3 linked regions of the Diceros bicornis minor genome follow. The protein of the gene in region 3 interacts with the protein of the main gene of each other region in a pairwise test. Links are inferred from orthologs where the notes say so. Each region holds a gene or a part of one and is shown on either strand. Other genes may lie near its edges.

Region 1 (7,991 bases), on a different chromosome or scaffold from region 3:
CAAATAGTAAATTCTTTTGGCAGCCTTGAGTTTTCTCAGGTAGGCACTTTAAGGAGGGCTAGGGTCATCCTAGGGATGCTGCCTTGAGCTGTCAGAAACTATGTTAATATTTGTTCAAGGCTTTATAGGCCAGGATTAAGGCCTAGTCAGGCAGAGGGCTCAGAAGAACCTGACTAGAGTTTGGTCAAGGAGAGAATCTTTGTCACTACGTCATTAATGGGAAAATCCAAAACATCAGTAAATCCTGAGGGCTCTATCTTAAAAATAGAAAATAATCTCACTGCTTCTCACCATCTCAACTGCTACACCCTGGTAAGTCACCATCCTCTCTAAATTACCAACAGATTGCTCACAGATCTCCTTGCTTCTACACCAACCCCCTTCAGTCTATTGTCAACACAGCTGAAAGAGTGATCCTTTAAAAATTAGGTCATATCACGTCCCCCTAAGGCTCCAAATCCTTCAGTGACTTCTCATCTCACCTTATACCCAGAGTATAAAAGAGAGTCCTTACAATGGCCTGTAAAGGCCCACATGATCTGCCCCAATGGCCCTGCTTTGTAACCACGCTTACGACTTTCCCTCTTGCTCAATCCACACCAGACTCACTGGCCTCCTTGCTGTTCTTTAAACAGGTCAGCAGCCTTCTGCCTTAGGACCATAGCTCTAGTTCTACCTGGAATATTCTTCCTACATATAACTACTTGTCCAACTCATTCATGAACTATAAGTCTTTGCTCAAACCTCACCTTTTTAATGAGGCTACTTTGAGCCTCCCATTTAGTACTACAACCTACTCTGTTACCTCCCTAGCCCTGCTTCTGTTTTCCTTTTGTTCCACAGCATTTATCATCTTCTAATATACTATATATTTTATTATCTTTACTTATTGACTTTTCTCCCTGATAGAATATAAATTCCAGAAGGACAAGAATATCCCTCCCCATCTTGGTGCAATTTTTTCTGTCTAAACTAGCGCTACTTTATAGATGCTCAATAAATATTTGTTGAATAAATGAATTACTCTTTGTAAGTGAAATTTCTTAGTGATATAAAATAAGCTCCACTGATGTCTTTTATTAGCTGGTATGTCTTTTTATAGTATTTGGCATATAAATGATTTCTATGAGAGAGGAAGGCTCTGGCTCTGGAACTGAAGTTTGCTGAGGAGCAGTAAGACTTTTACTCTTCTTTTTCATGTTCCTATCTCCCCACCCCCCCACCCCCCTATTCATATAGACGGAGAGAGAAAATGAGGTGGCAACAGATAGGAAAGGGAAACATAATTAATTTAGTGTTTAGGTAAATGTACTGGTTAATTGAATATCTAAATTTATGAGAAGACCAAAGGCCTCCAAGATTTAGAAGAAATACCATAAGTAGACATAATCATGAAAGCTTTATGGTCACCAGAAAGCATGTATCCTATGTAAGATAAGTAACTAGATTGGCTAATCCTACTCAAAACCATGCATTTCTTGTCTATTTCTCTAGTTATTGGTGTGCAATTTTTCTACTTCTTAAACCCTTTCCTCTTACAGTGTAAATAATTTTTATTATGCTTTGAAATCCTGTGGTTAGGGGTGGGAAGAAGGGGAAATGCATTGTTTAAGAGACCACATTCTGCAGCCAAACTGCCTGGGTTCTAATCTCAGCTTTGCTACTAACTCTGCAACTATGGGTAAGTGACATATAACTCTCCACCTTACTTTTCACATTTGTAAAATGAAGATAATAATAGTATATATATGATAGAGTTGTTTTGAGGAATAACACCTTACAACATACAGTGCCTGTTACATAGGATTCACTCTATAAATAGCTATTTTTATAGAATTATGGAGTATTTTATGAAAAGAAAAATATATAATTTAAAATTGTTTTTTATACAATACATTTTCATAAAATGATATTGTTCAGAGCCAGCCCTGATGGCCTAGTGGTTAAAGTTCGGTGCACTCCACTTATGTGGCCCAGGTTTGGTTCCTGGGCGCGGAACGACACCACTTGTCTGTCAGTAGCCATGCTGTGGCAGAGGCTCACATAAAAGAATTAGGAGGATCTACAACTAGAATGTACAACTGTGTACTGGGATTTTGGGGAGGAAAAAAAATGATATTATTCATACAATACTTAATTATGGAAGCAAATTTTCATTACTATTATTAAAAAAATCTCTTTATAGGCTCCTTTTAACTTTTAAATTCCTATATTTTTTATATATAATTTATAATTTGAAATACTAGGTTTAGAGAGGGAGAAACGCTGCAGACTGTGGTGCTGAAAGTTCTCTCTGTATCTCATATGGTAGTGTACAGGAGGTAAAATAATTTTCCCTTTACCATCTAAGTTCTTGGCTGAGAGACCTGTGATAAAAAACAGATTCACAAGAGAAAAAACCCAGAAGTTTACTATCATGTGTTCTCGTGCATGCATGGGAAATACCCAGGGAAAAATGAGTAACTCTCAGAGGTGGCTTTGAATTCCAGCTTAAATACCATCTTCAGATAAAGAGGAAAGAAAGAAAGGTATGGGGGAGACTAGCTATGGGGAGGTTACCTGGAAAAGCAGGATAAACAAATGTAAGCTTTGTTATGCAGATTTAAGTCCCTGCCTTCTCCATTAATAAGGGTCTAAAGTTGTCTCAGAGTATTAATCTTTGTCCTTCCTGGTAGAGAGGGTTGGAGGGACTTGTAAATTTATGTCTTGCTTTTAGGCAAATAGAGGGAGAGCAGAGAGCTTTTCTTGTATCTGCTTCTCAATTGCCTTCAGTTCAAATAATCTTTATGCAAAGTGACATATTTTGGGGTGGCATATTCTGCTACTCTTCAGTAGGAACTTCCCTGGGTAGCTCTCTCAGAAAGAGATACATTGCTAAGAACTGTGAAGGATCTGATATTTTATCCTACTTGCATGCTAACAAGTATCCTGCCACAGTTTCATAGAGGTTGACAGAAGGAATGAGATTCATCTGTCAGAGACAAAGAACTTTATTATTCACAGCACAACAGGCAGCATGAGCTTCAGGCTCTCATTGATTCCCCTTGTTCCCAAGTCCCACAGAGAGAAATGGAGCCACTAGGCAGGTGCTGCACAAGCAGTGGGTTTGTATCAGAACAAGGAACTCTGAGCTTATGAAAGTCCTGCTAGCAAACCTACCCAAACTTTGCCCTGGAGCGAGAGATTTTTTTTGTTATCCTGCAACAAATCTTCTCTCTGCCCTTGAGGGAAATACTATCGCTATCTTTGAAACTATATGTGTAAAAATGCAAAAGACTCATAGAGACTTGACTTCCAACAAACACAAATGTAATGCATCAGTAAGGCTATTATGATGAATGGAAGATGCACAAAAATTCTGACCAGAGATTTAGACTAACATTCTAAATGTAAAACTCTCAATCCTCTCTGAGAATTTCTTTGAATATATAGTTAATCAATTAGAATAAAACTTTGCAACAATTTGTTTTGCTGTGTAATCCTTTATCCCTTGATGCTTTAATGAGTCATATATTCTTTCCTCTTATCAAGTAGGTTTTACCATCACCCTCCATTTATTCATTTATGCCAATAATTTAACCTTATTGGCTAAGGTATTTCTTATCGTGTTAGAGGAACTAACACACATTTTCTCAAGAGTGGCTTGTATGTTAGCAATCTTCCTTTTTCTCTGCCTCTTCCTGATAAAATTAGGTTTCACAAGGTTCAACATGTTCTTCTGTAAGGTAGCTGAGCAATAGTTACTCAGCTTTGCAAGGTTGATTTCCTCTGCAAATAGGTGGTTAACACTTTTTTCCCACATCTTTATTTTTTAAAAATGTTTTAATGGTTGTTGTACTCTTCAGAGATAACTCAAAATAATATCATCCTGGTCTCTTTAAACTAAAGTTACAACTCTCCTACCCTTTGGGGTGTGTGTGTCTGTGTCCTGTCTTTTTAAAGCTGATGCTACAAAATTCATTTGAGTTCTAGAGAAAAGCAGAACTACTTATTTACTCAATTACTATTACTTAATAAATCAAAAAAACTGAGCATTTAACTTTCCATCGAGTGATAAAAACCAAGCTGTTCTTCTCCGTGAGTATAATCAGGAGGCACATCTTAAGAGTTTGCCCAAAGGTTGAATCATCAGCAGGGTGATTCAGGACTCCTGTATATTATCAGCGTATAAATAGAGAATCATTTTTTAGCAAGTGCATGTCTCCTGCTATATTTGAGACATGCTTATATTAAAAAAAAATGCATTGTTCATTTGAAAATGAAATTTAATTGGACATCCTGTACTTTTATTTGCTAAACCTGGCTACTCTAGACACCATTTATTTACCAAACAAACCACAAATAACCTTTCGGTAAAATTTAGCGTCAAGTAGGTTTTATTTGGCTCAGAAGCACTCTCCTGGGGGCAGAGGTCAAGGTTTCAGTTTTGATGATGTGACATCAACGCCGTGCAAAAACAAAAAGTAACTCTGCAAGTTTTGAAATTTATAGATGTGTATTTGGAAGTCCAGCTCAAAAGAGCAGAGGGGTAGGTTAAAGGAATTCATGGCTGGGCAGTTTCAGGTTTCTAAAAGGAGAAAAGAAACCTTGGCTTGCAAGGCCTTTCCAAAGAGGGTGGAAATTACCGCGGCAAAGGCTTTTTCGCGGTTTCGTGAGGAGAGAGCGCGAGACCTGAGCGAGCCAATAGGAGCCGAGCAAGAAGGGGTTGGGCGCGTAAAGCCAATCAGAGACGAGATGGGTGGGACTAGACTCCGGGAAGGGGTGGCCTACGGCAGTGTGGGCCTCTAAGGGCGAGACTCAGCCAATAGGAACCGAGCAGGGCGGGGCCGGACTGCTGGAGAGGGCGGTCTCGGGGAAGTGAACCGTGCGGCAAGCGTGCTTTCAGCCGCACTTGCAAAAGCGCCTGCGCCTGCGCCTTTCTCCCAGCAGGGCAGACGCGGACTCGAAGGGTGACGGGAGCTCGCTCGGCTCGTCATGGCCTACCCGGGATACGGAGGAGGGGTGAGTCCCGAACACTGCGCCGCGGCCTCCGCCCCCTCAGGGAGTGGCGCCCCTACCGGCGGTGCCAGCATGCCAGGTCCCTGCTTCCCTCGCTGGCCTCTGGTACCCGGCGGCGCCGGCGCTCCGCGCGGTGCTGGAAGCCGGGTCGGGGCCGAGCCGGGAGCCTCAGGTGTTCTGGTCCCTGAGGCCCCTTCCGCGCGTCCTTGTGGAGCCAAGGGTGTGGTGCGCTTTTAAAAATTTCTTTCCTGGAATGGAGGAACAAACACTTTTTTCTTGTTCCAGTAATGTTTTGTGGTCCACTCCCCCCAGCCCCCGCTCCGTTTTGCTAGAGATCCTCTTTCAGAATTTTTGACCACTTCTTGTTTTCTGTCCTTTAAGTTACATACGAATAAATTAAGATATGCTAAATGTCTCCTTATCTTTACTGTTCTACCAAGGGCAGTCTGTTCTAGACTGTTTTGGGGAGGTGGGGAGGATTATTCTTCCTTACATAACTGTTTATCTGCATCACCTTTGAGAGGTGGAAGTCGTAATTGTAGTATCGTAGTGGCTTGCTTTTTCTTCTTAGAAAAGAGCCCAAACCGTCAGTATTTATGTCAGTGATCTCCAAAGTGCGATGAGCCCAGTTTGTTTACAAAATGGGCGTGCGGGATGATCCATTGGGGGTGTGGGTAGAAAATAATATATTTTCTATTTTTATTTCTATTTGTTTATACCTAGAAAGAAAAATTGAACTTCACTAATATTTAATATAGGACTTAACACTGTCATATGGCAGTGGTCTTCAAAGAGTTACTCAGAGCCTTGGGAGTACTTGGGAATTTTTTTTTTAAGAGAATGAATTTCCAGACCCTCAACATCCACACATACTCGGTCCTAAAATTGTTTGCTTGAAAACTTGCCAGAGTTTCCCCTGGAGTCTTCCACTTTACAAAGTCTACCCCTCATCAGTCCTTAAACTTACTAAGGAAGTTTAAGATGCCTAAGGAAGATAAACCCTCCCTCAAAGACTAGTCAAGGTAGCATAAACCCAAGGGGCTTTTAAAATTTCCCTATCTTCTACATATTTTCACTAGGGTGAAGCTTGCTGTTAGAAAGTAAGTATTTTTATAACTGTTTTATGTTCTGAAGTCATATAGGTGGTAGAATGGGGTGGTGCGAGTAACAATTTTTCATTTGAAGAAGTTGCTACTTCTTTACCCACATTTTTGTCAGAGTGCTTGTATCTGATGGCGACTTCCACGACAGCAAAGAGAAGGCCTGTATGTGTTGTGAACATTTAAATACCCTTTACCATTTATTTAAATGTAGCAGCTCTTTTCAGCTGTTCTCATGCTCATCATTAGTAAATAGCTGGAAGGAAGAGTACCCTCAAACAGCTGAAGCATATAGATTAGTGAGACTGATTCTTTTAAATGTAATGGAAATATTTTCAGATGTATTGGATAAAATTTACAAATAAAACATATGATTTCTTTACTAGGAGTATATTCATGAGGTACTTAGAACTGTTTTATAAATCATATTAATTATAGTCAATCTGCCTCTTATTAATGTTTCCTAGGTTCTTTTAACAAAATATAAAATATGTTAGCTGATGGACCTATTTATTTTTATAGTATACTTTTATCTAATGAAGTGCATGATTCATCTCATTAGGAAATGCATTTCCAATAAATTTTGTCTTTCTTGTTTAATAATTGTTTATCAAAATTGTAATATATATATATTTACTTATTGTGTACTAATAAAAATTATAATCTAAGGAGAATTTTTTTCTCTGTTTCTCATGGCCACAGGAAATGAAACAAAATTCAAAATTTCAATTTTTATACATAGTTTTATTTTAGGTAAGTATGACAAAGTGATCAGTATTTTCAAACATAAAAATACATTTTAAGCATAAAAAACTTACACGGATGAGATATTCATGGGAGAAATAGAATAAAAGATGAGTTCAAATAGTAAAAGGAAAAATGTAAAATTTCTAAATGTTACAGAAGAGCCTTTTCCAAAATGGATGGGAGCAGGTATCAGATCATTATAGTGTGTAGATAACAGAGGATGCTTTCCAAAGAGTGATGTAAAAGTTTATTTGTAAATGTCAAGATTTACAGTATGTTGGGCATTGCATTTTTTATAACTGTTCCAACTTTAGATAAAAACTTCATATGTCAACATAAAATACGAGGAAAGGTATATAATGTAAAAAAAATTTTTAGGGATAGGGAAGCAAAGTGTTTGAAGAACACTGACCTAGGTACAGATGGTATCCTGAGGGATGAAGTGGAATTCGTACATTGGCTTCTCGTTTCCTTTCAGCCTATGGTGACTTATTACAGTTTATATGTGCAGAGTTCTCTGGGGTTACAGATTAGATGATCTAGTTTAAAATAACCCTCACAAAATGGACAAGTAGTTTGAAAATTTCTGGGAAGAAACTGGGGATCGAAGGTAATACTAAAGATTTAAAAATGTGCAAAACAACATGAAAATGACATCACTGATACTTTTTAAGTCCAAGCTTTTCTTTAGTCACATCACCAGGTAATAACAATGATGATCTAATGATCAGTTTTGACTCATTTGAAACTATCAAGAAGACAACCTGAAATATGACTTTATATAAACTATTTTTAGAGGTTAACCTTGTTGGCCGGAGGCCCCAGTTCCCCTTCGCATGGGCCCTTCTGCATGGGTCTTGGGCTTTGTGCTGGCCGTGTTCTATGAGAGAGAGAAACAGAAGCTGCCATCCTCTTACAGTCTTAAGCCTGGAACGGACATGGTGCAATTTCTACTCCATTCTACCAGATGAAGCTGAAATAGGCCCAGCCCAGGTTCGAGGGAGTGGAGAAATAGTCTTTGCCTTTGCATGGGAGAAGTGGCAAAGAATTTCCAACCGTCTTTAATCTGCCCACTACCAGGCTCTCACATTTTTGGATTTTGGGGAAGTTAATGCTGCAAGTCAGGGAGGAAAGGTAGGTAGAAGG
Region 2 (6,750 bases), about 40 Mb from region 3:
TTCTCAGCTATTTTCTTGAATAGGCTCTCTGTTCCTCTTTCCCTCTCTTCTCCCTCAGGAATACCTATAATTCTTATGTTACATTTCCTAATTGAGTCGGATATTTTTGGAGACTTTCTTCATTTCTTTTTAGTCTCAGTTCTCTCTCCTCCTCCATCTGGAGTATATCTGTATTTCCTATCCTCTATAATGCTAATTCTTTCCTCCATATTGTCAGCTCTGTTCTCTAAAGATTCCATGTTCTCCTTTATCTCTTCCATTGTTTTCTTCATTTCCATCAATACTGATTGGTTTTTCTTTATGATTTCAATCTCTTTTGTGAAGAAACTCCTTATCTCATTGAATTATTTACCTGTGTTTTCTTGTATTTCACTGAGCTTTTTTATGATAGCTATTTTGAATTCTCTGTCATTTAGGTTATGGATTTCTGTGCCTTCAGTGTTGATTTCTGGTTCCTTGCCATTTTCCTTCTGGTCTGGTGATTTCATGTACTTTTACATCGTGCTTGCTGTATTCGTTTTGTTTTTCCTCATCCTGGAAATATCTGGTTACAGTTTCCACCTGCTGCCACTATGTGGGGCTCAAGGGCTGTGTAATCTGAGCCTCCTGTGCTCCACCAAGGCTGCTCCGCCATAGCTGCTCCACCGGGGCTGCCTGCACTCTGCTGTGGCTGCTCTGACTGGTCGGCTGAGCTGCACTGTTGGGCATGCAGGGGGGAGTGGCTCTCTCTTTTGCCTGCCAGGTCCCTGGGAGGGGGCTTCTTGCTCGCCCTTTGTTATCTGCTCTCTTGGGGTTCTCAAATGTTGATGGCACCCCTGCAGCATCTGAACCCTCTGTATGTGAGTTTCCCAATGGTTGAGAGAGGCCAAAGAGCTATGGTTTCCCCGCAGAGGGCCTCCTCTCCCTGCTCTCTGGGAGCCATGCAGGCCCGAATCACTGATCTGATGGGGAGGGAGAGGATTTCTCCCTACCTCTCCCCACTTCCTCCAGGGGCCCCAGCACATCCGCTCTCAGATGTGTGACAGTGTGGGTCTTTCTGATGTCCCTTTGTGCTGTGTGAGTGTCCCTTGTTGGTCTATGAATGTCCCTTATGTTGTATCTTATTGGGGGAAGAGTTTACAAGAAAGCTCAGTCCACCATGATGCTGATGTCACTCTGAAATAAATATTTTTAAATGACCATTTAGTCTTCAATTGACTCAATGGTTCAGGAAATAATAATGTGCCCTTCAACATAAAGAGAGAATGATAAAGCAAATGTAGCAAAATATTAACTGGGGAATATAGTGAAGGGCATGTGGGGGCTCTTTGTAGTATCTTCAAAATCATTTTATAACTTTGAAATTATTTCATAGTAATGTTTTTTTAAAAGACCACTTAAATAACAGTGGGGGTCTTTTTTTGTTTCATTTTGGTTTTTTTGCCTATGACACAGATTGCCAACCCTACCTGATATTAAGTATTGTGTAAGGAACTTAAATGCAAGTTCCCATAACTTGCTCCAATCTACTGAACTAGAATCCTCAGAGAAGAGTCTGGGAATCTTAATCTCAGGTGTCTTTTATAATGTGGCAGGTCTAGAAAACATTACTTGATGATCTTGACAACAAATTTTTAAAAATAAATTAAAAAGGACAAAATGAAACAAAAAATAAAATAAAACAAAATTTAAAAAAATACAATAAACCAGGTAATACTCAGTGTTGGTGGACACATGAGAAAACAGGAATGCTCATACATTATAGATGCCGAATTGGGACAACATTTTTCAAGGCCAATTTCTATGGCAATTAAAAGCATCCATAGTCATATACAGCTAGGACATTTCTAGGAATTTAATACCCTCCTGTTAGTATAAAAAAAATCTATGTACAAAGAAGTTCAATCAACATGGTCCCTCATAGTGAAAACTACAAACACCCCAAATGCTCATAAATACCGGAATGGATGTGTGTGCATTCTTTATTTTGAAGGGAAATATTTGGACTGATTTAGAATAAAATGTGAATAGTATATTTATTGAGGCAGAGATAATGCTGATATTGTCCTTCTACCTTATCTGTATTTTCTAATTTTACTGAGGGCCGTTTATGGCACCTTGTGAGCTTGCTCAGTCCAGTCCAGGCTTAAGACAACCTGGAAGCGTCAGAGATTTTAACATTCCCAGGGTAACATCCACCAATAAAGAACCCATGTCTGTGGATAAATACTCCAATTTCCTGTCGTTGAATTGGGATAATTCTGAGGAGCATTCTACATGGCTCCTTAGACTTAGAGGGTCCCCAACAGGATTGGGCCAGTTGTCTTTTGGCCATGTCTATCACTGGTGCTACTTTTGTGTGTGTGTGTGTGAGGAAGACTGGCTTTGAGCTAACATCTGTTGCTAATCCTCCTTTTTTTGCTGAGGAAGATTAGCCCTGAGCTAACATCTGTGCCCATCTTCCTCTATTTTATTTGGGACACCTGCCACAGCATGGCTTGACAAGCAGTGCATCAGTCCCCGCCCAGGATCTGAACCTGCGAACCCCGGGCCATGGAAGCAGAGGGCGCCAACTTAACCACTATGCCACCGGGCCGGCCACTCTGGTGCTACATGTTTAACGAACAAACTTTTTCATCCTAAGATTGTATACAAAATAACATTCGTTATATACTATTTTCAATGGTTTTATGTCTTTTTATCTAAATATTGAGTTAGTAAGTTTAAAACCGGAATAAGGCACTTCATTTTTTTCCAAATAGCTAATCAATTACCTCAGCACCATTTCTTCAATAATCATTTCTTCAATAGTCTAAACTCTCTCCACTGATTCAAAATATTTCAATTAGATTACTAATATTTCCCCATATTTGTGTTTGACAATTGACTTTCTCTTCTGTTTCATTTATTCTATATTTATTCTGGTATAATGTTGTTTTAATATTGTAGCTTCACAATACTTTTTATCTGTAAGCATAACTTTCCAAAATTATTGTTCTGAATTGTTGGAAGACCTCAGTGTTGCTCTATTTTAGAGGCCATGCTGGAGTCTTATTGTAAAGTGAAGTTGCACTAACATAATTTAGAGGAGACCATAAGTTTGTTACAAGCTCTCAAGATTTAAAACTCCACCAGCAAAACTCTGTTAGACTCACTATCTCACCTCATGGAAAAACCACAAAGAGACCCTTTCACAAGGGGAACCACCAGCTTAGGTTTATATTTCAAAGTCCTTAAAAGGGAGAGGAGGTGTTATCTGGAGGGTCTATATTTGTAGGATGATTCAGCAGCAGAAACAGGTTGCCAAGTTTTTACAGCTCGAATCCTGTTTTTCAACTGGAAATAATTGTATTATTTAGTCATAGCAAGCAAAAAAATGAATGCATGCTGATGGGAAACAAAAAAACAATTACATACACCCTCTTAAACATAAAGGGAAATAATTAAGGTGAAAGTTAGGAAAAAAAAGGTCACTTCCTACTTATTTTCCAGATTTCTTAACCTCGCCCCCTTCTCCCGCCCCGGTTGCACTCTGGGACAAGACCTACAAGACTGTTATGGGAAATTCTGGGCTTTACTTGCTGGGGAGTGGAGTGGGGAGAAGTGGGCATTTAATGATATAAAACAGGAAGAAGCAAGTCTTTAAAAGCTCCAGCAGAAATCAGGGAAAAGGCATATACAACCTACAAAATATTATGACCCGTTTGGTCTCGAAGATTGCTAAATAGCAAAAAAAAAAAAAGGGATGTGGACAGTAGCCTGTTGTAGTGGTGGGGCGAGGGCGGGAATGAGGAGAAAGGTGGTCCCGCCCACGCTCCCACCTCCCACTCTTCTGCCGCACTGCAGGTATGAACCGGAATTGGGGATCTGAGCTCGCAGTGACATGGCCCTTACGAGATCTAGAGCCAACCTATGGATTAGTCTCTCCTTCTAGTTGTGATCCAGTGGTTGTTTGTGGCTGTGCGCCGGCTCGCTATTGCCTTGAAGGCGGGCGAGCCTGTAGCCCAGGGAAGGAAGAAGTCGTAGAAGATGACCCAGATCCATGGCAGGTTAGCGGGCTCTGACTGGGGTGCGGGTGGCAGAGGGCAAAGACCAGAGTGGGTTCAGGATTGGATTCTCTCTAGCACTTCCCCGATGCCCACCCGTTTGGTGCAAGAAATGAAGGGCTTGATGGGAGGAGACCGAGAGGGGCCAAGGGTTGAGAATGAGTACCAGTTGGGATCCCCTAGGAGGTGGACGATCAGGCGACATCTGGAAGGGAAGGACCAGAGAAGAGGACGCCGAGGAAACAGCCTGATTCCTGCAGGGCGGCAGGAGGGGGGCGAAACCGGTAACCCTGGGTTGGAGATAATGGACACCGCACGCCTCCATTCCCGGTATCTTTTCTCCACCCTCGTGCATTTTGGAGCCGGAAATGGTGGGCTGTGGGAACCCGGGTGAGGGGCGGTTGCTGCAGAGGATGGGGCAGGGATTAGGTCTGGGAAGCAGGTCCCTTCTGCGGAGGGGGCAGTCGACCGGGCGGACTTCTGACTGAGGGATGAGGGATATAGGTGGGCAGGGAGAAACTGTTTCTGGTCCCTGCAGGCCGGTATAAGGGTGGGTGCTGCTTGCAGACCCTGGGGTAAGCATGACAAAGCGCTGAGACCGCAGCAGGACCAAGTTTGCAATGCCCACACTACCTCTTCGCCCTTCGTCCATCTTGATGCATAAAATGGTGGGCAACGGAAGGAGGGTGGGCTCGAGAAAGGCCACTGGGTCCCAAAAGGTCCTGGTGGAAACCCAGATTGAAATTCTTCATAAATAAACCACATCGCCACCCAGCAAGCTCTTCTGACTTCCCCGCCCCGCAAACTGTCCATTTGCGTTCAAGAAATGGTAATTAGGCAACAGAAGGGACGGGTCAGTGAGGATAAGGGGCCTAAAGAAGAGGTGAAACTGATTTGGAAAAAATCGTCTTTGATTACAATGCCTCTTTCTGGAAGGCGGGGTAGCGCATCACAGGGCTGGAAAAGAAGCCCTGAGACAGGCTAGAGGAGAAAGAGAAGGTGGCAACATTTGACTAGCAGAATCCTAAATCAGCAACGGAGTTGGTGCCCTGGGTACTGGTCCTTTAATCGAGTGATCAGTCTTGGGTATTGTCGCATTTCTGTCTGCAGGTCTTTAGGTCCGTTGGTGCAGCAGATTTCAAGGCTAAGAGAGGAAGATTGCTTCTGATCCCTGCAGGTAGGGGGCTACCGGGGGCTCTCTGGTGTAGGGACATCAGGGATCAGGACAGAATCTGGGGGAGTCACAGCCTTCCCTGCCTGAGTTAAGTACAGCACAAAGCTGGCGAAGTCCTTAGAAACTGTGCGCCTATGGCTGGTGGAGGAAGAAGGGAGTAGAGGGGCAAGCTCTGGGGCGCCCCTGGAGGGCTTATCAGGATCCCTGGAAGCTGAGGCCTGGGTCTCTCAACCACCGCCCGCCCACTACCCATCCTATGTTTTGATGAGAGGAGTGGCCTAGGGAAAGTACTTTCAGGGAAAATGGTGGGCTTTGGGGCAGGGCTGGGTCTGGGGCGCCCCCTGGAGGGCGCACGAAGTCTCTCAGATGGGAAAACCTTTGCCAACAGAACTCTGAATCCTGTTGTTACAGAACATTCAATCCCTCTTCTTGCTTTTTATCTCTAGGAAGAAGAAGCAGGAAAAAATCTCAACATGGAAAATGTCCCCCAGGAAAGCAAAGGAGGGGGGCAGGCCCCAGTGCAGAATGAAGAAGAAGCCCGCCCTTTGGGAGGTGGTCAAGGCCAGGAGCCTGGAGGAAATATTAGAGGGAGTTGGGCTCCACCTGCCCAGGATTTTAGAGAGGATATTCCCAACAGGCTTGTCAATAACATTGACATGATAGATGGAGATGCAGATGATATGGAAAGGTTCATGGAGGAGATGAGAGAGCTAAGGAGGAAAATTACGGAGCTTCAACTGAGGTACAGTCTGCGCATTCTTATAGGAGATCCCCCTCACCATGACCATCATGATGAGTTTTGCCTTATGCCTTGAATGCTGAGGTTAATAGTTATAAACCCTCTGCTTCCCAAACTTGCATTTTCTTGGTGTACTCTTTATCGTGAACCTTTGGTGTTGTGTCACTTTTCTGATTGGAGATTTCATTTTGACTTAGTCTGTAGGTTTTTCTGTCAGCAGGGGAGTTTCATGAACTTGCATGGAAAGATGTTTATTATATATTGTAAAGTTAATAAAGCAGTTTAAAAATTAGTCTATAGATATACTATCTCATTTAAAAGTGTGCATATTATATATATCTGAATGTAGTGTGCATATTATATATATACATCAGAATGTGTTTTTTTGTTTTCTTTATTTTTTCTTGATTATCTGTTTTTTCTCATTTTTCCAAAATGAGTACACACATATTATATGTGTCAAAAGAAAAGTAAGAAGCAAACAACTTGCCAGTCGGTTTATAAAGGGAATGGAGAAAATTAATAAATACTTGAGACACAATTTATACTTGAGACACAATTTAAAGACATATAAATTATATTACCTCTGGATCTCTTATTTAGAAGCACAAACCTGGTAATTATTACAGATACATTTCTTTAAAGTCAGCCGATTCATCTTAAAAAATGAAGATAGGGGCCGGCCCTGTAGCTTAGCAGTTAAGTGTGCGCACTCCACTACTGGCGGCCCAGGGTTCGGATTCCCGGCGCGTACCGACCCACCGCTTCTCTGGCCATGCTGAGGCCGCGTCCCACATACAGCAACTAGAAGG
Region 3 (7,119 bases):
TACATTTGTCCAAACCCATAGAACGTACAAATCCAAGTGTGAACCTTAATGTAAACAATGGAGATGGGGGGATACAATGTGTCAATGTAGATTCATCTATTATAAGAAATGTTCCTTTCTGGTGGGGGTTGTTGACAATAGGGGAGGCTATACATGTGTAGGGGCAGGGGGGAAATGGGAAATCTCTGTACCTTCCTCCTTATTTTTCTGGGCACCTAAGAGGCTCTAAAAAAAAATAAAGGCTTCAAAAACAACACACAATATGAACAACAATATCTAAAGAACAAAACAGGAGAAAGCCCTGGGGGAGACTGAAGACTATGGTGAGCCCAGTACTTGTGTTTGGGGTGGGGGCATGGGCAGTGGCAGCCAATTTGGGAGGGTAGTAGGCTGCATAGATGCAGATGACAGGATGGGTAGGAGGAAAGTTTTCAAACTTCTGCTCCTCCTTCACTGCACACATCTGAAGCAGGCCCTCAGACCACACATGCCAGTGGCCCTGGGGCAAAACCAGGACAGCAGGAAAGATGGGTTGATTGAGGCATTTGACTCCTGAGTCTGTGCTAATAACCACCTGAAACTATCTTAGTGGGTGAGGACTAGCCTTTCAAAAGATTCTCATTTTAATAGAATACAGAGAACAGACAAGAAACAGAATAGTGAGCCAGCCCTGACCACCTAGTGGTTAAAGGTCAGTGCACTCTGCTTCAGTGGCCAGAGTTCTGTTCCCAGGCACTGAAACCACACCACTCGTCTCTCAGGAGCCGTGCTGTGGCAGAGGCTCACATAAAAGAACTAGAAGGACCTACAACTAGAATATACAACTATCTACTGGGGCCTTGCAGGGGAGGGGGGCGGAATATTGGCAACAGATGATAGCTCAGGGTGAATCATTCCCAGCAAAAAAAAAACAAAAGAACAGAATATCAAGTATAGGTGCTAATTACATAGAGAAAAAGAAGGTATTCTTTCATAAAAGAAGTATACACATATATATATATAGTCTACATGTATCTATAAAGACTAATAGAAACATACATGAATGTGTACACATTTATCTGCATATTCACGTGGTATGGACACATACGTGTCTATACACACACATAAGCTACATATGTTATAGATACAGATACAGGACAGAGGGCAGAGACATACAATGTATTTCTTACTAGGAAGGAAGATTAAAAAGTGAAAATCCCTGCACTCAACCACGCAACGTGAGGTCACCATAGACCCGGACGACCATCCCGGGAAGCCCCTGCAGCTGCTCAGCCTCTTCAGGACAAATGAAATCCAGAAAAGAAACAGTTCGCGGTGTCTAGCTGGCTGGTGAGACCCCACGGGAAGGGTGGCTTCTTCTCTGACCTCCCCCACAGCCCTGGGCGCAGCAGCCCCCACCCAGCACCTCCCCTGGGACAGCAGGCCATCTCGGCCAGGGTGGACGAGGACCCTCCCGAGGGAGGACGGAGGACACCCCCGGCCCCAGAACACAGGGTCCCACAGAACCCCCCTCGGCCCCTGCTGTGCATTCTGGGGGACCCCCGGCAGCGCTGTCAGCAGAGCGCTCTCCCACGTCCCCCTCCTCAGACAACCAGGGGCGTCAGAGCTGAGAGTGAGGGGTGCAGATCCAGGGGGGCAGAGGGCTAGAGGCCCAGGCCGGGCAGAGTAGGGTGAGGAGAGGAGGGCGGGGCCGAGGGAACGTCCAGACCACTCTCACCCCTGCCGTCAGCACTGGGAGACCCCGGGCCATGGCGTCCGGATGTGACGTCCTCTGGCTTCCGCCTCGGAGGTCTGAGGGAGCCGAGGGCCTCGCGGTGGCGGGCCGGATCCGGGGCGGCAGAGGGAAGGAGCCCAGGCCCGGCCAGGCGTCCAGGTAGCCCCGGGAGGGAGGACTCCAGGCCCCACGGCGTCCAGGTCTGCTCCTGCCATCAGCCCTGAGGGACCCTGGGGGAAGGGGAGGGGGCAGGGTGGTCAGGCAGAGTTCCCCGCCCCCACCTCGTCTTCAGAGGAGCCTGCTGGGGAGTCCTGGGTCTGCGGGGAGCAGCCTCAGGGGGCAGAGGCCGGGGCCCAGGCCCTGCTGGGAGCTCAGGAGAGGAGCAGAGGGAGGGCCGAGGAGCCCCAGGCAATCCCTGTCGGCCCCTGCCGTCAGCCCTGGGCGTCCCCGTGCTTAGTGGCCTGAGGTGACCTCCACAGACTTCCCCCAGGGCTCTCCGGCCAGTGAAGGCCTCGGATCCACAGAGGGAGGATCCCAGGACCTGCCAGGGCTCAAGGGGAGGACCCTGAGGGAGGACAGAGGGGACTCCACAGAAACACGGCCCTGCAGGCAGCCCCGGGAGGCGCCAGAGCGCCGTGAGCACAGGCTGCATTTCCAACTTCCGCATCCGGGACTGAGAGAGACCGGGGACTTGGTCAAGGGAGCAGGGCCTGAGGGGGGCAGAGGGGATGGCCCAGGGCCTGCTGGAAGTCAGGGGGAGATGCCGAGGGAGGCCTGAGGGACTCTGGACCCCAGGACAGACAGGGATCCTGTGGCCCTGTGCTGGTCTGGGGAGGCCCCAGGGCAGGATGACCCGAGGAGGCATTTGCTGCCTTCTGCCTCGGGGGTTTTAGGGAGGTGAGGAATGTGGCTTCAGGTCAGCAGAGGGTGGAGTCCCCGGACCCCCAGGGAGGACTGAGCAGACCCCCAGCCTAGACATAGGCGACCCCAACAGAAATCTGCCCCGTGGTCTGTCCCTGGAGGCCAGGTAGGATGTCAGGAGAGTGGCCTGTCCACTTGCTCCTCGGGGTCTCAGCGGGATGGTGGCCTTGGCCTGCAGGACACATCCTCAGGTTAGCAGAAGGGATGGTTCCAGGCCTGGCCAGGAGTAAGTATGAATACCTTGAGGACACTGAGGGGACTCCCTCCACAGCCAGAGGAGGACCTCACTGAAATCAGCCCTGCCCCAAGTCACCCCTGCAGACCCCCGGCAGGGGTGGCCGCAGGTGGTGCATCCTCACTCACCTCTGCCTCGGGCTCTCTGAGAGGTGAGGCCTTGTTCTGAGGGACAGTGTCAGGTGAGCAGAGGCAGCCACATCTGGTCAGCAGAGGAAGGAGTCCCAGGATCTGCCAGGACTCAAGACAAGACCCTTTGGGAGGAACAGAGGGCATGGAGGTTCCCCCCACCCCAATAGAGAAGGGACCTTACAGAGGCCAGCTTCCCCTATTCTCAGCCCCGGGAGGCCCCGGACAAGGATGGCTGGATGTACCCTGCTCTGACTTCTGCCACGTGGTTGGGGATGGGGCATCTCAGGGAGGTGAGGCCTTGGTCTGAGTGGTGACATCAGGTCAGCAGAGGGAGGAGTCCCAGGATCTGTCAGGTGTCAAGGTGAGGACCCTTCATGAGGACTGAACGTACCCCCCTCACCTCAGAAAAGAAAGGCCGGCACAGAGTCCTGCTGTCCGCTGTTCTCAGCCCTGGAAGGAAGAGTCAGCGGTGGTCCTCAATGGCATGCTCACTTCTACCATGGGTGGGAATGTGGGGAGTCCTCAGGGAGGAGAGGTCTTGCTCAGAGGGAGATGTCAGCTATCCAGGTGGGGGGCCGGGAAGAAGAGCAGGCCCTGGCAGGAGAAAAGACGAATAACCTACAGGAGGTCTGAGGGAACCCCCACCCAGGACAGAAGGGCTGGTCCCCTCTGCCAGCCTTTTGTGATCCTGGTAGGGGATGTGGGGGGATGTGGGGGGTGGGGGGTGGGCGTGGATGTGGTGCCTCCTCCCGTTTCTCTCAGAGCCCTCAGGCAGGTGAGGACCTTGGTCTGAGAGGACGACGTCAGGTCATCTGAGGAAGCACATCTGGTCAGCTGAGAGAAGAGTCCCAGTTCTCACCAAGAGTCAAGGTGAGGACCCCGAGGGCACAGTGAGTGTACCCCAATCCCAAGGACAAAGAGGGGGCCCCTCAGAAATCTGGCCTGCCGCTAATGTCAGCCCTGGAAACCCCCCAGCAGGGCCTGTCTGGCTGAGCCCCTCCTCACTTCCAGACCAGTGGTCTCGGGAAGGTGAGGGCCTTGGTCTGAGGCTCTGTTCTCAGGTCAGCTGAGGCAGGATCCCAGGCCCTGGCAGGGGTCACGGTGAGGACTGAGGGGACCCCCACCCACACACTCAGCAGGACACATGGAGCCCAGGCCTCCTCTACCCTTCTGTCTGCCATGGTGAGACCCGGGATCAGGGGGTGGATTGATTCCCCCTCACTTCCTCTTCCTGTGTCTTCAGGAGACGAGGCCTTTGCCTAAGGAGGGTGGCCTCAGGTTAACAGAGGGAATTGTCCCAGGCCCTGAGGGTGTCAAGGTGAAGACTGGGCGGACCACCAATCCCAGGACACGTGGAACCCACCGAGTTTGGCCACACCTTATTGTCCCTTGGTGCCTCCTGTTAGCCCCTGGGCAGGTGTGGCCTGATGTGGCGCCCCCTCACTTCCTTCTGTTCAGTCTCAGGGGTGTGTGGTGGTGTTCTGAGAGTTTTGCCTCAGGGCAGCAGAGGAGTGGGGCCCAGGGGCTGCCAGGGGAAGGTGAGGACCCTGAGTGAGCACGGAGGGGACCACCCACCCAAGAACAGTGGGGACCTCACAGAGTCCGGCCAGCCCCTCCTGTCAGCACTGGGGGCCCAGGTCTCTGCTTACAGTCTGCACCCTGAGGTGGCCCCTCGTTTCCTCTTACAGGGGCTCTAGGAACCCGCAGGTGAAGCCCTTGGTCTGAGGCTCTTGTCCTCAGGTCACAGAGCAGAGGAGGCCCAGGCAGCGCCAGGAGTCAAGGTGAGATACACACCCTGAACGTGTACCCAGGGTCTCCCCCATGCCGAAACCAAGGAGACCCCACAGCGCCCGAGCCCACCCCACCCCACTGTCGTCCTTAGAACCTCAGGCTGTGCTGGGTGCACCCTGAGGAGCCGTCTCACTTCCTCCTTCAGGTTCATAGGGCACAGGCCGCCCAGGAGGACAGAGCCCTGTGAAGCCGAGAGCATCCCTAAAGAGGAGACCTGTAAGTCATCTTTGTCAGAGCCACCGAGGCTGCGTTTCTCAGCTGAGTCCACTCACACTCCCTCTCTCCCCCAGGCCTGTGGGTCCCCATCGGTCACGTCCTGCCCACGCTCCTGCCGGCTGCCAGACACGCATCATCATGCCTCTAGGTCAGATGAGTGAGCACTACAAGTGTGAGCAAGACCATCAGGACCCAAGAGAGGCCCAGGGTCTGGTGGATGCGCAGCTGTCCGGGACTGAGGAGGAGGAGGACACATCTCCCTCCTCCTCCCTCTCCTCCTCCCCGTCTGTCCTGTTCCTGGGCACCCTGGAGGAGGTGGCTGCTGCTGCAACCCCGAGTCCTCCCCAGAGCCCTCAGAGTGCCTGGCCCTCCCCCACTGCCACGGCAGCTGCTCCGTGGAGCCAATCCGAAGGCGATGGCTCCAGCAGCCAGGATGAGGAGGGGCCAAGCGCCTGGGAGGACCCGGAAGACGCCGAGTCCTCGCTCCAAGAAGCACTACACTTGAAGATGGCTGACCTGGTGGCGTTCCTGCTTCTGAAGTATCGTACAAAGGAGCCGACCACAAAGGCGGAAATGCTGAATCTGGTCATCAGAGATCACCAGGACCACTTCCCTGTGATCTTCAGCCAAGCCTCTGAGTGCATGCAGCTGGTCTTTGGCGTTGACGTGAAGGAAGTGGACCCCAGCGACCACTCCTATGTCCTGGTCACCACCCTGGGCCTCACCTACGATGGGATGCTGAGCGGTGAGCAGAGCATGCCCAAGACCGGCCTCCTGGTGCTGCTCCTGGGCGTGATCCTCCTGGAGGGCGACTGCGCCCCTGAGGAGGATGTCTGGGAAGCGCTGAGTGTCATGGGAGTGTGTGCCGGGATGGAGCACTTCATCTACGGGGAGCCCAGGGAGCTCCTCACCAAAGTTTGGGTGCAGGAACAGTACGTGGAGTACCGGCAGGTGCCCGACAGCGATCCTGCACGCTACGAGTTCCTGTGGGGTCCCAGGGCCCACGCTGAAACCAGCAAAATGAAAGTCCTGGAGTATTTGCTCAGAGTCCATAGCAAGGATCCTGGTTCCTTCCTCCACCTGTCTGAAGAGGCTGTGAGCGATGAGGAAGAGGGGGCCTGAGCCAGAGTTGCACCCATGCACGGTCCACGCCCACGTCCAGCAGCTTCTCCTGCCGGGCATGAAGTGAGGCTGCTTCTTCACTCTGTGTTTGAAGAGAGAGCAGTCAGCGTCCTAAGTAGAGGAGGGCCACGGCGAGGTGGGGGGACATGGTGGCTAGTGTCTTTGGGTTCCTGTTCTCTATGATGGATCTTGGTTTCCTTACGAATTTTTCAAATGGGTTCCCTTTAACAGAAGGTTTAATTAGCTTCAGCATCTGTTTGCGAATGACATTGACCACATATGAATTTGTACTTATCCCGTCCAAGAGGAAGAGTTTTGCTGTTTTGTAAAAGTCATTGGGACATCGTCCATCGTAGTCTGTGATCTGAACTAGAAAATGTGAAATAACTTAGCAGTCAAATTGATGGGGTCGGGAAATAGAAAAATAAATGTAGAAGGTACTTAATTCTTGGCTTCTTATCTGCTCTCTTCTGTCGTTCTGTCAAGCTAAAAGGTATGTGTATACCCAGATTCACTTGGGTAATTCAAGAAAGTTGGAGTAATTTCATCTGAGTAAATAAGACCCCTGCTCACTGGCTCGTTTCTTCCCCAGACTTTTGCTGAGCCTCTGCTCTCTGGAAGGCCCTGTGTTAGTAGTCAGGAAAGGAGGGTAAGGAGGACGCCCCCCACCCACAGACTGAGAGTCTAGGAGCCCCAGTCCTAGAAGGAAGGTGGTGTAGTGTCCCGTCCAGAACAGAAGAAGAAGGTGAGCGGTGGTGCGGCCCCAGGGGAGAGCACTCAAGTAAATGCCCCGAGCTAGGGCAGTGTGGGACTTTGGGAAACTGCGATTCCTTCTGTGGGAGTTGATTATAATGAAGCTGGGTGTTGGCAGCGGCCAGACTCACAGACTGTGTGTCTTAGGGCTGAGAGGAAAGTCTGAAGTGGAAAATTGATCTGAAAAGTTTCTTTTAGATCCCGGGTAAACCAGAGAGAAATCTCCACCTGGGGCA

What was found.
Region 1: the proteins of melanoma-associated antigen 8-like (region 3) and GCA interact in binary tests that used the Homo sapiens proteins (3 or more experiments, as listed by UniProt). The link is inferred for Diceros bicornis minor from reciprocal best matches to the Homo sapiens genes MAGEA8 and GCA.
Region 2: the proteins of melanoma-associated antigen 8-like (region 3) and BEX5 interact in binary tests that used the Homo sapiens proteins (3 or more experiments, as listed by UniProt). The link is inferred for Diceros bicornis minor from reciprocal best matches to the Homo sapiens genes MAGEA8 and BEX5.

The regions. Positions count from the first base shown.
Region 1 is NC_080749.1:44,656,249-44,664,239, forward strand, and holds the start of GCA (grancalcin), read left to right. Parts: upstream 1-4,896; 5' UTR 4,897-4,974; coding exon 4,975-5,001; intron 5,002-6,800; exon of another isoform or gene 6,801-6,851; intron 6,852-7,991. UniProt on the Homo sapiens protein: Calcium-binding protein that may play a role in the adhesion of neutrophils to fibronectin. May play a role in the formation of focal adhesions.
Region 2 is NC_080781.1:94,976,807-94,983,556, forward strand, and holds BEX5 (protein BEX5), read left to right. Parts: upstream 1-4,226; 5' UTR 4,227-4,355; intron 4,356-5,135; 5' UTR 5,136-5,202; intron 5,203-5,645; 5' UTR 5,646-5,672; coding exon 5,673-6,014; 3' UTR 6,015-6,213; downstream 6,214-6,750.
Region 3 is NC_080781.1:135,204,919-135,212,037, forward strand, and holds melanoma-associated antigen 8-like, read left to right. Parts: upstream 1-4,690; 5' UTR 4,691-4,782; intron 4,783-4,937; 5' UTR 4,938-5,008; intron 5,009-5,082; 5' UTR 5,083-5,146; coding exon 5,147-6,130; 3' UTR 6,131-6,565; downstream 6,566-7,119. UniProt on the Homo sapiens protein: Not known, though may play a role in embryonal development and tumor transformation or aspects of tumor progression.